Linked DNA regions of Neurospora crassa OR74A. The main gene of each other region encodes a partner of the protein of the gene in region 2 in a complex. Links are inferred from orthologs where the notes say so. Each region holds a gene or a part of one and is shown on either strand. Other genes may lie near its edges.

Region 1 (4,177 bases), about 1.6 Mb from region 2:
GGCGCTCAGCTCTACCCTTTCGCTTGTTTGCTGCCTCAGCCCTTTGTCGTTCGCGTTCTTCTTTTTCAGTTGTCTTCTCGGTGCGCAGAGTGCGGCCTGCTACGCCGCCCCGCGATCTAGACTTTGCACCATTCCGCGTTGTTGTGCCGGCGTCGTCAGAGTCCTCAGTGGTCTTGTCAAGGCTAGGAGAGGCCGATCGAGAGCTCGTCCTCTGCCTCTTGTTTTCTGACTTTCTTGAAGAGGGTTAGCGGTTATTGATGTCGGGCAGCGTAGGACGTGGACCTACTCTTCGCTATCGCTTCTGCCTCGCTTTGTTCTTCTCGTGGTAGTTTCGGGTTGTTCAGAAGCTGCATCTTCTTTGCTTGCTTCAATCGCCCGTCTCAGGGCTTCAGCTTCGTCGTAGTCAGCGCCTCGGCTGTTCATTGTAGATCTTCGCTTCGACGCGGAGGAAGTGGTCGTACCACGTCCGTTGCGGCCCTCCGGTTTATCTTTGGGCGGTGATCTCGTGCCATCCTTGTTGAGAGAGGCGGATCTAGAAGTGGTTCGAGAGGGGCGCTTAAGGGGTAGGTAGTGCGAATAGCGTTGTCTGTGAATCATGTCGTCAGTCGACTGGAGAGTGATTTGACAATTGTCGTGGATGGAGGAGGATATTGCATGAAAGGTGAGGCAACGTCAAAGGCGTGTGATGGGCTTTGACGCACTCCAGCTGAACTTTTGACGTTCAGCTCCCGACCATGCAGCCACGGGACCAAAGAAATGCAAGATTTACCCGTTGCTCGCTGTGAAAATTTTGTGGAATTCTTTGCGGCACTCTTCGCAGAAATATTCGTCTGGGCTTGACTCTTCGGTCATAATGCCAACGCAGGCGCCATGTTGCCAGACCTTGCAAATGTCGCATTGTACGAAAAATCCGGCCGCATCGTCGGTGACATCGGTCGCGAATATGGGATCGATATCCATGCCGTCCTTCAAGCCATGCTTGGAGTCTTCGTCAAACGGCGGAGGGCCTGGGTAGTCCTCGTAGCCGCAAATGCAACGAACGGCCTCGTCCTCGTCTTGAGCGTCATCGTCGCCGTGTGCCATTTCGACCTGCTCAGACTTGTTATTTGCCCTCTCTCTTTCTTCCTGCTGACCGCGGGTACGACGCCGGGTACCAAACGAGTCGTCCGCTGTAATTGTCTCGTCTGGAGCCTCAGAGGATAGCGATCCCGAGGAGCTTGACTTTTGTGGTGAGACAGCTTTGTTGAAATACCTGGTGCTGCGCTCACCACGACCTGACGTGCTGGACGTGCTGGACGAGATTTGCGATTGTGATTGGGAGGTTCGCGCTCTTGACGACCGCCTCGGATCGGACCCTGCCATTGCTTGCAGCTGGGGCCGCAGTCAAGGCAGGAGCTCGAAGTATGTAGGGTATATAATCGACACGATTGGTGTCGAAGAGAAGAACGCGATCCGCAGGCCCGTTGGGAGGGGGTTCTGCGGTCGGGTATCCGGAGTGCCTGGGGACAATGACGCACCCTAGCACTAAAACAATTTCGTTTTACTTGAAGCTCGACAATTGCGATGTGGATGGTCGGAGAAGTAATGGGGCGTGATGGCGGGAGCAGACCCGAATCACGCGGTCGTCTGTCGATGTGGTCACGGAGAAGCGAGGACTCGACGAGGCCGAGTCTCGACCGCAAATTGAATCTGACACAATCGTCGAGTAAAGATGCAATCGAAGGTGTCGAGGTTATGAGACTCGTGCTAGGTTCGAATCGTAGCTTGAAGCCGGTGCTTGGTGGTAGAGAAGCGTAAATTATCGAGGATGGATCGACCGACGGCGGAGGATCGCGAGGGCTCAGGTCGAAAATCCAGCCAAGTGAGGAGGGTGCTCGATCGGGGGCGTGCTCGAGATGAGGATGTCGCCGGCTTGCTTGTGTAAATGTCCACGAAAGCAAGACTCGTTCGCTGCTAACTTGGGTAAAAGATTGAGCGGGTACGAGGGTGGGAAAAAAAACGAAGAAGAGGGGACGGAGGACGGCGAGACGAGATGTCTATGACGGGATCCGAAGTGCTGGCTACGCCAAATTGGAGATCGGGGAGCGGTGGTCGACGTGGTAGGTGGGTGGTAAACTATTTCTCATGACGGAAATAACAAAGTTCGACAAGTCGGGTTTTCGTGTCTGTGGCCCAGGGTGTACGTGGTGAGGATTTCCAGAAAAGAGGAGAGCGAGGACGGCACTGCCTGGAAGGAGGAAGCGATGGCTGGTCTCTCTTGGTGTGTGTACAATGGTGGAAACCGAGCCCGGGACCTAGTCGAGTTGCCAGCCCCAAAAAAGACGGGACCACCGCACCGCACCACGGCACCACGATGCACCACCACCACCACCACCACCACCACCACCAACCCGACACGGCGCTCTTGCAGTTGCTTGCAGTAAATTTTGGCAGAAAGCTGTCCGCCCGGGCACCCACTCTGGCTGCCGCCCACCCACCCACCAACCCCGGTCTGATCCCGTCCGTCACTCAGGCACCTCCTCACTCCTCCTCACGGTAGCGGCAGTGGCAGCGCCAAAGCGTGCGGGGCCATCTGGAAGCTCGGTCCCCATGTTGACCAATCCGGTGCCGGGAAAAAGATAATGGGCCAGCTCGACCAGGATATCAATGATCTCTGGGATGCGGCGTCGAAAGCCGGCTTGTCGATGCTGTTCAGTTTCCAGAGACGAGTAGATATAGTTTGATGTAAGAAAGTCGTATGCATAGGTATGTAGAGGCCGTAGAGTGGTGAATTACTGGTACCGTCCGTCGGGGAGGGTTCGTGCTATGACATCACGCCTCAATAGGTGAAGCCCGTGTCCAACCTGGACCGACAAGAGAATAAGGGGCATCTTGAAAACCGAAAAGGGTTTGAAGTGAAATGTGGTTCAAACAAACATCGATGGTGGAAGACAACGAAACTCGTTGTTGCACACAAGGGGAAATTATTTGGGGTAATGGGAACCTGAAGGGGAGGCGGGGGTTCGGTTCATTGCTCGCTGCAGGTCGGGTCTGGTTCAGGTTGTTGTCGAGTTGAGCAAAGCTTTCCAAGTGAAATTGCACCTACCGTCGTCGAATGGGTCTCGTTTGCTTCTCAAAGGGAAAATGGCAGTACATGGTGTTGTCAGGGCGGCATCAAATCAGATGCAACTACCTATGAATGGCACCGGCACCGCAGTGTTCTGCCTGTGATGGAAAACGCTTGGCTCTTGCTCGAATACTGTACTAGTACTAGTGTAAGCACAGTGCGTCCGGCATTCAGGAACCGCCGCCCACAACCCGGCCTCCATTCAGGTCGCTTTCAATGTGAGTGTGCACGGCGATGATTATGGTAAGTAGAGACAGAGAGACTTGCCCACCCAGAAAGAAGCTCGGTTGCTGGGGAAGTCAAGCCAAGGTACACTAGCTGGTACCTAGAGGTAGTTAATGGGTCAACATCAGTCGACTCGGTACTTCCCCATGATCTTCCAATTGGATTTGGGAAATCGAAAAACGTACAGGTAGCTCAGTACAGTAGCTAGAGAGGTCACGGTATGGAAATTCAGCATCTCACTTGGGGCTGTTCCTTGGAGTCTCCAGTAGTGTACCCGTGGGAACACCAGTATGCTCGACGGTTCGTGATTGCTGTCGGCCTCTAGGGTATCATTATTGGGTGATCTCTCAGTTTCCGTTGATCTCTCCATGTTGGGGAGAGACCCAATGCCATGCGTGAGGCTATTCACTCGGATGGGAACCGGAAACCGAATGGAGGCTCCCCCGGCCGGGAACTACAAGTGGAAGGCGGGGGCGGAACAGCGGGTGTACTTCTAGGTTCTGGCAGCATGGCAGGCAGCGGCATTGGGTCACCGACCTCTGGCTGCCCTCTCCTCAGAATCACAGCCCGAAACCCGCGCTGTCCAGACGACCAACTGCAGTGAGGTGGTTAAGGACGGGATGCTTACATAATGCAGCCAAGGGTGCGTCGATTAGGTCCCGCCTACCATCCCGCCCGCCCTCACTACAGTGAACACCCGCTTCTCCTAATCACAACCACTGAACTCCATTGCTTTCCACCCCTCAACACCACTGCACCGATACACGACACCCGTCTCACTGACTCGGGCAAAGTGCTGGTTTGAGTTGGCTTCTTTTGTTTTGGCCTTCCTATAGCTCTCCCCCG
Region 2 (3,700 bases):
GGGCCCGCCCCATGATAAATTGCAACAACATTTTGGGTGGGTGTTGTCTTGACAAGTGGTATTGTCGTCATCGTGACTGGCACTGAACGTGAAAAGCACCGTGGCACGATGCCGAGAGTGGCGCCGAAGGGCGGCGGCCGCCGGACAAGCATGACGGGGGATGGAGGTTGACCGGCAAAGAAGAAGAAGAAGAAAACGATGAGGCGAGTAGTCTACGACTCTTCCATGCGGCTAATTGGTACTGTGATCCCAACCTAAAGCCGCCAAACTGGAAAGCAAGAAGAAGAGGAAAAACGTTTGGTTTGGAGCTTGCGTGAGCTAAGGAAGAAGTGAGTGGTGGTGGTTACAAGTAATGTGCCGGCCAAGTATGACCACCGAAATACCAATGTGGTCCGAGCTTTCATACTTACCCGCACACACTCGAAAGGGGTACTACACTACGCAAAACTAGACTGTTGGGACCTTACAGTCAGTATTTTGCAGCACAAATACCGAGATAACTAGCGTTAACGTGAAAGACACAACTATATTTGATTGACAGAATATGATCGAATATTCTCGCTGATAGCGGGTTTGACCCCTCGTCAAGGGACAGCCTCTAGTAATAAGAAGCCTGTACCTACGCGGAGAGTCCCTTTTACTACACTTAGTCCTCTCTAGACCCACCCCTTCCTTTGCTCTTTCCCCCCTTCTCAGTATGCTTCCTTGTCCATGTCTCATTCTGTAATAACGAGTTGGATTCAAACTTCATAACCAACCTAGGTTTGTTCTGTTCTGTTGATACCCACACGGTCCTTCGCCTAGGCTGAACGGAAATAAAACAAAAGCCACGACTAAAGCAAATCGTACCGCTTCCCTCAACTCCCTGATAAATTTCATCACCAAATTATCTCAACCAACATCCAACGCTGCATCCCAGAGCATACTCCTGCTGCCGAAAGGAGATGAAACGCTGAGGCCCGTCACATGAGCATCCGTCACTCACCCTATTCCTTCGTTCTCAAGGACACCCATGACCACAATACTACGGTGGGGCTTGTGGCTATTGTAAGGGCGGCTGCTGCTGCGACTCGACCATACCGATGCCTCCCTCTTTCCACCTCTGAAACTCGTCCTTGGCTGCTTGGACTTCCTCATGGCTCAGGCCCTTCATCCAGGAGTTATTTGTCACAAACTTCTCCTTGAGGCGTTCATCGCGCAGCTCTCTCTGGAACGCCTGCTTCTCCTCGTGGAAAACCTTGTCCTCTTCCGAGTCGAAGGTGGTGGTGTTGTAGATGAACCATTCCGAAGTGAATTTTTCAAACACCATCTTGGACGAATTGAGGCAAATCCTAATCACCAGGCCCTCGTCATATGCAAGTGGCTTGGGTTTATAATCATCTTCGGAGATACCCTCTGTCGCCGCGGCGTGGTTGCGGGAGAGGAATACCCTCTGGAGTTGCTTTTTATCTACTCCTTCCGTGGGCTCTTGACGCATGTAAGAAGAGATATAGTACTGCCATTGCTGGATGCGCTCCATCTCGTCCATGTAGAAGGTGGTGTCTTCCTTTTTCAGCCAGCGCACGGAAGCTTCCTTCTTGCCCGGATACTGATGACAGATTAGTATTTGTTACATTCAACTTTCTCAAAATAGATACTTACCCAGCTGATGACGAACATATCGGCATCTTTGATGCACTTCTCCGCAAATTTACGAGCGCTGATCTCGTTCTGGAAGCTGGTGGTCTCCTGCTGACGACTCTCCAGGTATGCCCTAACGAGCTCCTTGGTCTTCTCGCCCTTGGCGTCTGGGTTGTTGCAGGCAAGACCAATGCGACAAAGTGTCTTGAGCAGATCTTGGATCGTGTAAATTGTCCATCCCTTGCGAAGATAGTAGTGCCGGAGCACGTCTTGATACCGGCTCTCGTCAATCTCGCCGTTGATGAAATCCTCAATCAGCTCGACGGTACGAGGCCAGAATGTCTCCGGGTTCTTGTCGTCGAAGTAGTGCAGGCCTGGGTTGACCATGCCAAGGATCTTTGCGGGCTTAACAGCAGTCTCCCGGCGGATCTCCTCAAGGACGCTGTCTTTGCTGGCCTTGACCTCCTCGAGGCGCTTGTACAGCGTCTGGAAAACAGTGAAGAACACATACATGTTCTGGTTGCAGTAGAAGTTGTACCAGGCACGAACAAAGGGTGCATCCGCCTTCAGTTCACCATCGACATCGACAAGTCCATCAGGCTTACCATCCTTGGTGTTCTCTAAGACGATGGGACCAATCGTGGGCAACCAGCGGTCATTCGAGACCTCCGGGACAGCCCGATCATCTGGCGCATCGGGCATCTCCTCCTCATTAGCAGACCCGACATCCGGTGTCGTCTCCTTGCTTCCTGTTGCTGTGCTATCTTCCTTTTGGCCCCGGCTACGACTACCATTACGGCCCGGATCAAGGACGCCGCGAAGTAGGTCGGATTTTTTACCGCGTCGCGTCCTGCCATTGGTGAGCTCAGCGGGCGCCGAGTCTTCTTCATCCTCTTCTCCAGAATCTTGGTCAATATCAGCAAGTCTTTCTTGCACCTTCTCTTCTGGAAGGTCAAAGAATGCCGGGATGAACGTTTCAAAGAACTCCAATATACGTCTCCTCTCCAGAGCGTTGTGCTGGCCACCCACATTCGCATAAATGACCATGAAACGGAGGAGGTCAAGGAGAAGATCCTGATCTTGGAACCCATACAGGAATTGGTAACGAGGTGTCTTTGTTTTAGTCGTTCGCAGTCGGCGTTGTTCTTCATGCTTGGTCTTGATAACGTCGACCAGATGCTTTGCGGAAAGATTGCGTTTGTCATTCGTCTTCACCTGAATACCCATGTGGTCCAGGCTCTTGAGATGCATCGTTTCGGTTTGGCTCTGCCAGACTTTCTCCCATTCGCGCTATTTATTGGGTTAGCAAACACATAGTAACAGCGAATCATAGGTCAGGGGAATGGTGATGCGTACCTGGGTGAACCTCCACTCTTCATCTTTTTGTTTGAGACGAGCCATCACGATGGGCACAACAGCGAAAGGGTTCTTAAACATTTCGTTGGCGACTTCACAGCCCTTCTCTGGCCCGTAGATCTTCTTCAAGACTCGCTTGTAGATCGAAGTACTCTGCCCACCAAGACCTGCAGGCATCTTGAAGTGTGCTCGCTCCGCGGGGGTAAGCGTAAGCATTTGTTGGGCGATCGGCTCCAGGAGCTGGATGCACTTTTGGTTGGCTTCGATGTAGAAGTCGTAGTCATGTCGCTCCTCTTCGATACGATGGAGTCCCTCTTCGTAACCGTTCTTGCGATGCGCAACGAAGCCCGAATCTTCCGAAGCCCACGTCGGATGTGAGGCCCAACCATCGTTGAGTACCGAATTGCACAGCTCGTCGCGACCGCTACAAGGACGGAGACGTTCCTGTAATCCCATGATAGTTAGCGCGCCAGAAAAGAAATAGTGCTATGTTACGAAAAGGCACTTACCCGTCTAGGGAGAAGGCGATAGCTAGGACCGAAACCGCGGCAGTTGCTCAAAGAAACCTTGCCTGGCGGTGGTTCAGGGCGGTTCTCAACTACCTCTTCCGTGCCGGTGTGCCTTAGCATGTTCCTGAGGGTATTCAGCAATTCGGGGTTGCCACCCATGAAGTGATTTGCCTTGTAGATCAACACGTCCTTCTCGATCAGGTCAAGATTCCACA
Region 3 (4,244 bases), about 4.3 Mb from region 2:
ACAAACAACAAAGAGCCTGGATGTAATGTGGGGGAATCATTGAAAACAACATTTTCCTCGTCACAACACCCCTAAATCCCCAAACGCCAATGCCAATCATGCTCATGGGATAACACAACTGAAATTTGCCGACGTACTCAGGGCCCGATTAGTCCGAGCTATCAGACGTACTGAGTGTTTGTTCGGGGGGTTGCGTCCTATTCTTGAGGCTTATCGGCCTCCTTTTCCTTGTCATCTGTTGTTGCTGCCGGTGCCTTGTCGGATGCCTCCTCGGCAACCTTGCTTGGCTCTTCTGCCACTGGCTTCTCAGTGTTGGCGTCTGGTACCGGCGAGGCGGCCTTGGGAGAGGCTGCTGCTGCTGCTGCTGCCTCGGTAGCAGGCTCCGCAGTGGCGGCGGCGGGACTTGGCCTGCGCTCTGCCTCCGGCTCCGGAGCAGGGGCAGTCTCGATTTCCTCGGTCTTGATCTCCGCCTCAGGTTCTGCAGGCTTCTCATCGGCCTCGCCCATATCCACATCGCCATCTTCGTCAACTTTGGCCGCAGAGCTTACTGCAGGCTGCGCGGCTGTCGTTGCGGGGGCTTCGGCTTCAGGTTCAGCGGCGGCCGGTTGGGCTTCGTCGTTATCGATCATGGTCTCATCGTTGTCGACAGCAGTAGGCTCCGCTGGCTTAGCGGCGGCCGCGGCGGCGGTGGCGGCAATCGAGGGCGGAGCTGGTTCTCCAATATCAAGATCCATGTCCTCCACGGCCTTGGGGTTCTTGAAGTCGAGAATGGACCGGCGCTGCGGTCCGTTCGGCTTGAACACACCATTGGCTTGAGCCATGTCCTCGTCATCACTTTCTTCAAACTCGTCTTGCCTAGCTCTCTCCTTCTCCCATTGACGCTGTGTCCGCCGGACATCCTTGTTCTCGTCCTCATCCATGTCGTCAAGCTCGTCTTCCTGATCGTCTGACATACCGAAGCCCTGACGCGGAACGTCCTGCATCTGGACAGAGGGAACTGGGGCGGTCTTCTTCAGGTTTTCTATCACTGATATCTTGATCTTCTCCAGGTACTCTGGGCTGTTGGCGTTCTCCATATTGGAAGAACGCACATCAAGCTCGTAGTCGGGACCGTAATACTAAGAGTTTGTTAGCAAGGCGGCAAGCCATAATGGAACTAATCCACTTACGTCGTAGTACTCGTTGTAAGGAAGGACTGGGTTCATCTCAACACCAACCAAACGGCCGGTTTCGTAGGCCCAAGTCCTTGCGACGTTGCGCATGGTGTAGCCACCTCCGCCGAGAACCAGAGTGGGTAGTCCAAAGCTCCGCACGTAATTAACGCAGTTGGCATGGCCACGCATGCTCAAGTTAAAGCAGCCAAGACGATCACCGGACAAACTGTCACCACCGCATTGGAGGACAACAGCCTCAGGTTGGAAGTATTGCATGACAGCGCTAATGACGGGCTGGAAGATGGAGCTGTAGGTGGTGTCGTCAATCCCATCGCGGAGGGGGAAGTTGACGGCATAGTTCTTGCCGGAACCGATACCAATGTCGCGCAACTCGCCGGTACCGGGGAAGTACTCGCCGTACTTGTGGAAGGATACGGTCATGACGCGATCCGTCGTGTAAAAGGCTTCTTCGACACCATCGCCGTGGTGCACATCGATGTCAATGTAAAGAACGCGCTTCTTGAAACGCAGGAGCTCTAGGATAGCCAGGACGATATCTGTTCGGTGTAGTAGGTAAGCATGGGTGGCGTCGTACGGGTTCCAGGAAATTGTGAAGGCCACATACCATTGACATAGCAGAAACCGCTAGCCTCGCTCTTCTTGGCGTGATGCAAACCACCGGCCCAGTTGATGGCGATGTCGCACTTGTCCCTATTCAAGCGAGCGGCACCCTCCATACTTCCGCCGGCACTGATGCCGCAGAACTCAAACAGGCCGTCGAAAACGGGACAGTCATCGCCAACATTGTACTTGCCCTGCTCGCGCATGAAGCCGTCCATGTTGTCGGGGGTAACCTTTTGTAAAAACTCAATGTACTCGTCGGTGTGAAACTGTGTCATTTCGGCAGTAACGGCTGGTTTTGCACGCTAACACAGAGAGGGTCAGTTTGTCGTTGACCAAGGCCAGTACCCCCAACACAGCAAACTTACGTAGACCTCGAGAAACTTGTACACGTTGTAGTTCATGACCAGACTGTGGGCAAGACGGATACGATGGGGCTTCATAGGATGGCCGGTCACGTAGGCATAGTTGCCAATGTCGGAGTCGTAGAAGTAGGCGACCCGCTTCTTGTCATTGTGGACGACGGTATACAACGGCTCGTCACGCGCGACTCCGGCGGGATCGGTGAATGTGGAAGGCATGGTGGGCAGATGTTGCCGGGTTGCCCGTTGTGTTGTGTTGCGTTGCGTTGGCGGATACGGAGGACTATTGCGGTACAATCCGGATTGTGGGTTGGATGGTGTGTGTGTGTGTGTTGTGGTGGTGGATATCACGTCCAAGTATGTAGAAGTTATCGCTGACCGGGAGACGCTGGGATGGGAAGGACCCCGTCGTGAAAGGAAATGTTCAGGGTCGCCGGGCTGAATGGGGGAAACACGTGTTGAGGTTTCGTGGTATTGATAGAATGACAAAGTATGATATAGAAATATCCCCGTGATGTGGCAAATCACCTGGGCGGTATCGTCATGGCTTGCCAGCAACGAAAAGAAAGATGGTGTTTAGTTCGAGCTCGGTTCCTGACGCCGGGGTGTCTGTCACTGAGTGGCAGAATTGCTTGTACGAGCCACGGCACAACGCTGAGGTCGGTGCGTGAAGCCGTGGGCGGACAGGCGGGGGAGAAAGCGCAAGCACCAGCAACCCCAACGGGCGAGTGGGGTATAATTGAGCTGTTCTCCATTCTCCAATAACTTTAGTAACCAATCAGAAAACGGATTGTGCACCTGACGTCCTGTCGGCAGGCAACGTCGAACCTTCCAAAAAAGCGCCAATACTTATGAAGTCAACCGCTTTGCCTGCCGATTTGCAAACCAGATAAGATTATGTAATCCACAGCTTCCAGCTCAAGGGAACCTTCCGTCACCGGGCTGGCCTGCAGTGGACTTTGTGGCAGTTGGCGTTGCAGGCTGCCACAGCTTGTCGTCAACGCCGCCGCCAGCCAGCTGCGGCAAGCTCCCCATAGGTGCTGCATGCTCCATGCTCCAACCTGACGCGGTAGGTAGGTAGAGAGGTACTCAACCCACCAACCTAAACAACAAACCGCCCCGTCTCCCGTCTTGTCATCGACGACATCCCACTTCGACTTTACAACGAAACCGCCACCGTTTGCATCGCAACCCTCCATATACTTCTGCGCGACGTCATTACACCCGAGGAACGACGCCGATATTAATTTCCAACACCCCCGTCACACAGCTACGTCAACATAATACACTACTCTCCAACCAACAAACACATTCAAGATGGATCGCATGCGCAGCTTGTTGGGCGGCGGCCTGGGAATGGGCGGTGCCACTGCGCCAGGAGCCGTATGTTTGTTCCCATTCGCAAATTGAACAACAGAACCGCAGGCTTGCTTGGTCTGGCGTGAAGGTGACAAGGGCATGATGCTAATGTGCTGGGTTCTGGTCAGGACAACACCAACCTCATCGACAACTCGGAAACCGTCTACATTTCCTCCCTAGCCCTCCTCAAGATGTTGCGCCACGGTCGCGCTGGTGTGCCCATGGAAGTCATGGGCCTGATGCTGGGCGAGTTTGTCGATGACTTTACCGTTCGCGTCGTCGATGTGTTTGCCATGCCCCAAAGCGGTACTGGTGTCAGTGTAGAGGCTGTCGACCCCGTCTTCCAGATGAACATGATGGACATGCTCAGGCAAACGGGAAGGTGAGAGGATACTCAGCTCAACTTGACCTTTCACCACCCACTAATGTATTTCCCTTCGCAGGCCCGAGGCCGTCGTTGGCTGGTACCACTCGCATCCCGGTTTTGGCTGCTGGCTTTCGTCGGTTGATATCAACACCCAACAAAGTTTCGAACAACTCAACTCCCGTGCGGTCGCCGTGGTTATTGACCCCATTCAGTCCGTCAAGGGCAAGGTTGTGATTGATGCTTTCCGTCTCATCAACCCCCAGTCGCTCATGCTGGGTCAGGAGCCCCGCCAGACGACATCCAACTTGGGACATCTCAACAAGCCTTCCATCCAGGCCCTCATCCACGGCCTGAACAGGCACTACTACTCGATCGGCATCA

What was found. The genes of interacting proteins can lie anywhere in the genome.
Region 1: NCU02578 (region 2) and NCU02121 share a complex: the UniProt entries of both Saccharomyces cerevisiae proteins name them as parts of the RPD3C(L) complex. The link is inferred for Neurospora crassa OR74A from reciprocal best matches to the Saccharomyces cerevisiae genes SIN3 and CTI6.
Region 3: the proteins of NCU02578 (region 2) and hda-3 are in contact, whole or in part, in a cryo-EM structure (PDB 8HXX), measured with the Saccharomyces cerevisiae proteins. The link is inferred for Neurospora crassa OR74A from reciprocal best matches to the Saccharomyces cerevisiae genes SIN3 and RPD3. Residues at the interface, in NP_014639.1 of Saccharomyces cerevisiae: Cys748, Glu749, Ala750, Phe751, Gly752, Pro753, Ser754, Tyr755, Thr763, Met765, Pro766, Cys767, Ser768, Gly769, Arg770, Asp771, Met773, Cys774, Val777, Leu778, Asn779, Asp780, Trp782, Val783, Gly784, His785, Pro786, Ala789, Phe795, Ile796; in NP_014069.1 of Saccharomyces cerevisiae: Asp26, Ala27, Asp28, Gly30, Asn31, Tyr32, Ala33, Ala36, Gly37, His38, Lys41, His43, Arg46, Arg65, Gln72, Cys75, Gln76, Phe77, His78, Thr79, Asp80, Glu81, Asp92, Asp114, Gly115, Glu118, Lys153, Lys154, Glu156, Val167.

The regions. Positions count from the first base shown.
Region 1 is NC_026501.1:1,173,707-1,177,883, forward strand, and holds the start of NCU02121 (transcriptional regulator), read right to left. Parts: upstream 2,801-4,177; 5' UTR 1,363-2,800; coding exon 770-1,362; exon of another isoform or gene 598-769; coding exon of another isoform or gene 587-597; coding exon 287-586; intron 234-286; coding exon 1-233. UniProt on the Saccharomyces cerevisiae protein: Component of the RPD3C(L) histone deacetylase complex (HDAC). Responsible for the deacetylation of lysine residues on the N-terminal part of the core histones (H2A, H2B, H3 and H4).
Region 2 is NC_026501.1:2,788,225-2,791,924, forward strand, and holds the end of NCU02578 (paired amphipathic helix protein Sin3a), read right to left. Parts: coding exon 3,486-3,700; intron 3,421-3,485; coding exon 2,977-3,420; intron 2,911-2,976; coding exon 1,642-2,910; intron 1,589-1,641; coding exon 1,043-1,588; 3' UTR 501-1,042; downstream 1-500. Other genes in the region: NCU02577 (hypothetical protein), read right to left, coding at 1-152. UniProt on the Saccharomyces cerevisiae protein: Catalytic component of the RPD3 histone deacetylase complexes RPD3C(L) and RPD3C(S) responsible for the deacetylation of lysine residues on the N-terminal part of the core histones (H2A, H2B, H3 and H4).
Region 3 is NC_026501.1:7,046,517-7,050,760, forward strand, and holds the start of hda-3 (histone deacetylase RPD3), read right to left. Parts: upstream 2,801-4,244; 5' UTR 2,357-2,800; coding exon 2,144-2,356; intron 2,081-2,143; coding exon 1,780-2,080; intron 1,712-1,779; coding exon 1,170-1,711; intron 1,119-1,169; coding exon 198-1,118; 3' UTR 1-197. Other genes in the region: rpn-11 (26S proteasome regulatory subunit RPN11), read left to right, coding at 3,455-3,520, 3,625-3,878, 3,940-4,244. UniProt on the Saccharomyces cerevisiae protein: Catalytic component of the RPD3 histone deacetylase (HDAC) complexes RPD3C(L) and RPD3C(S) responsible for the deacetylation of lysine residues on the N-terminal part of the core histones (H2A, H2B, H3 and H4).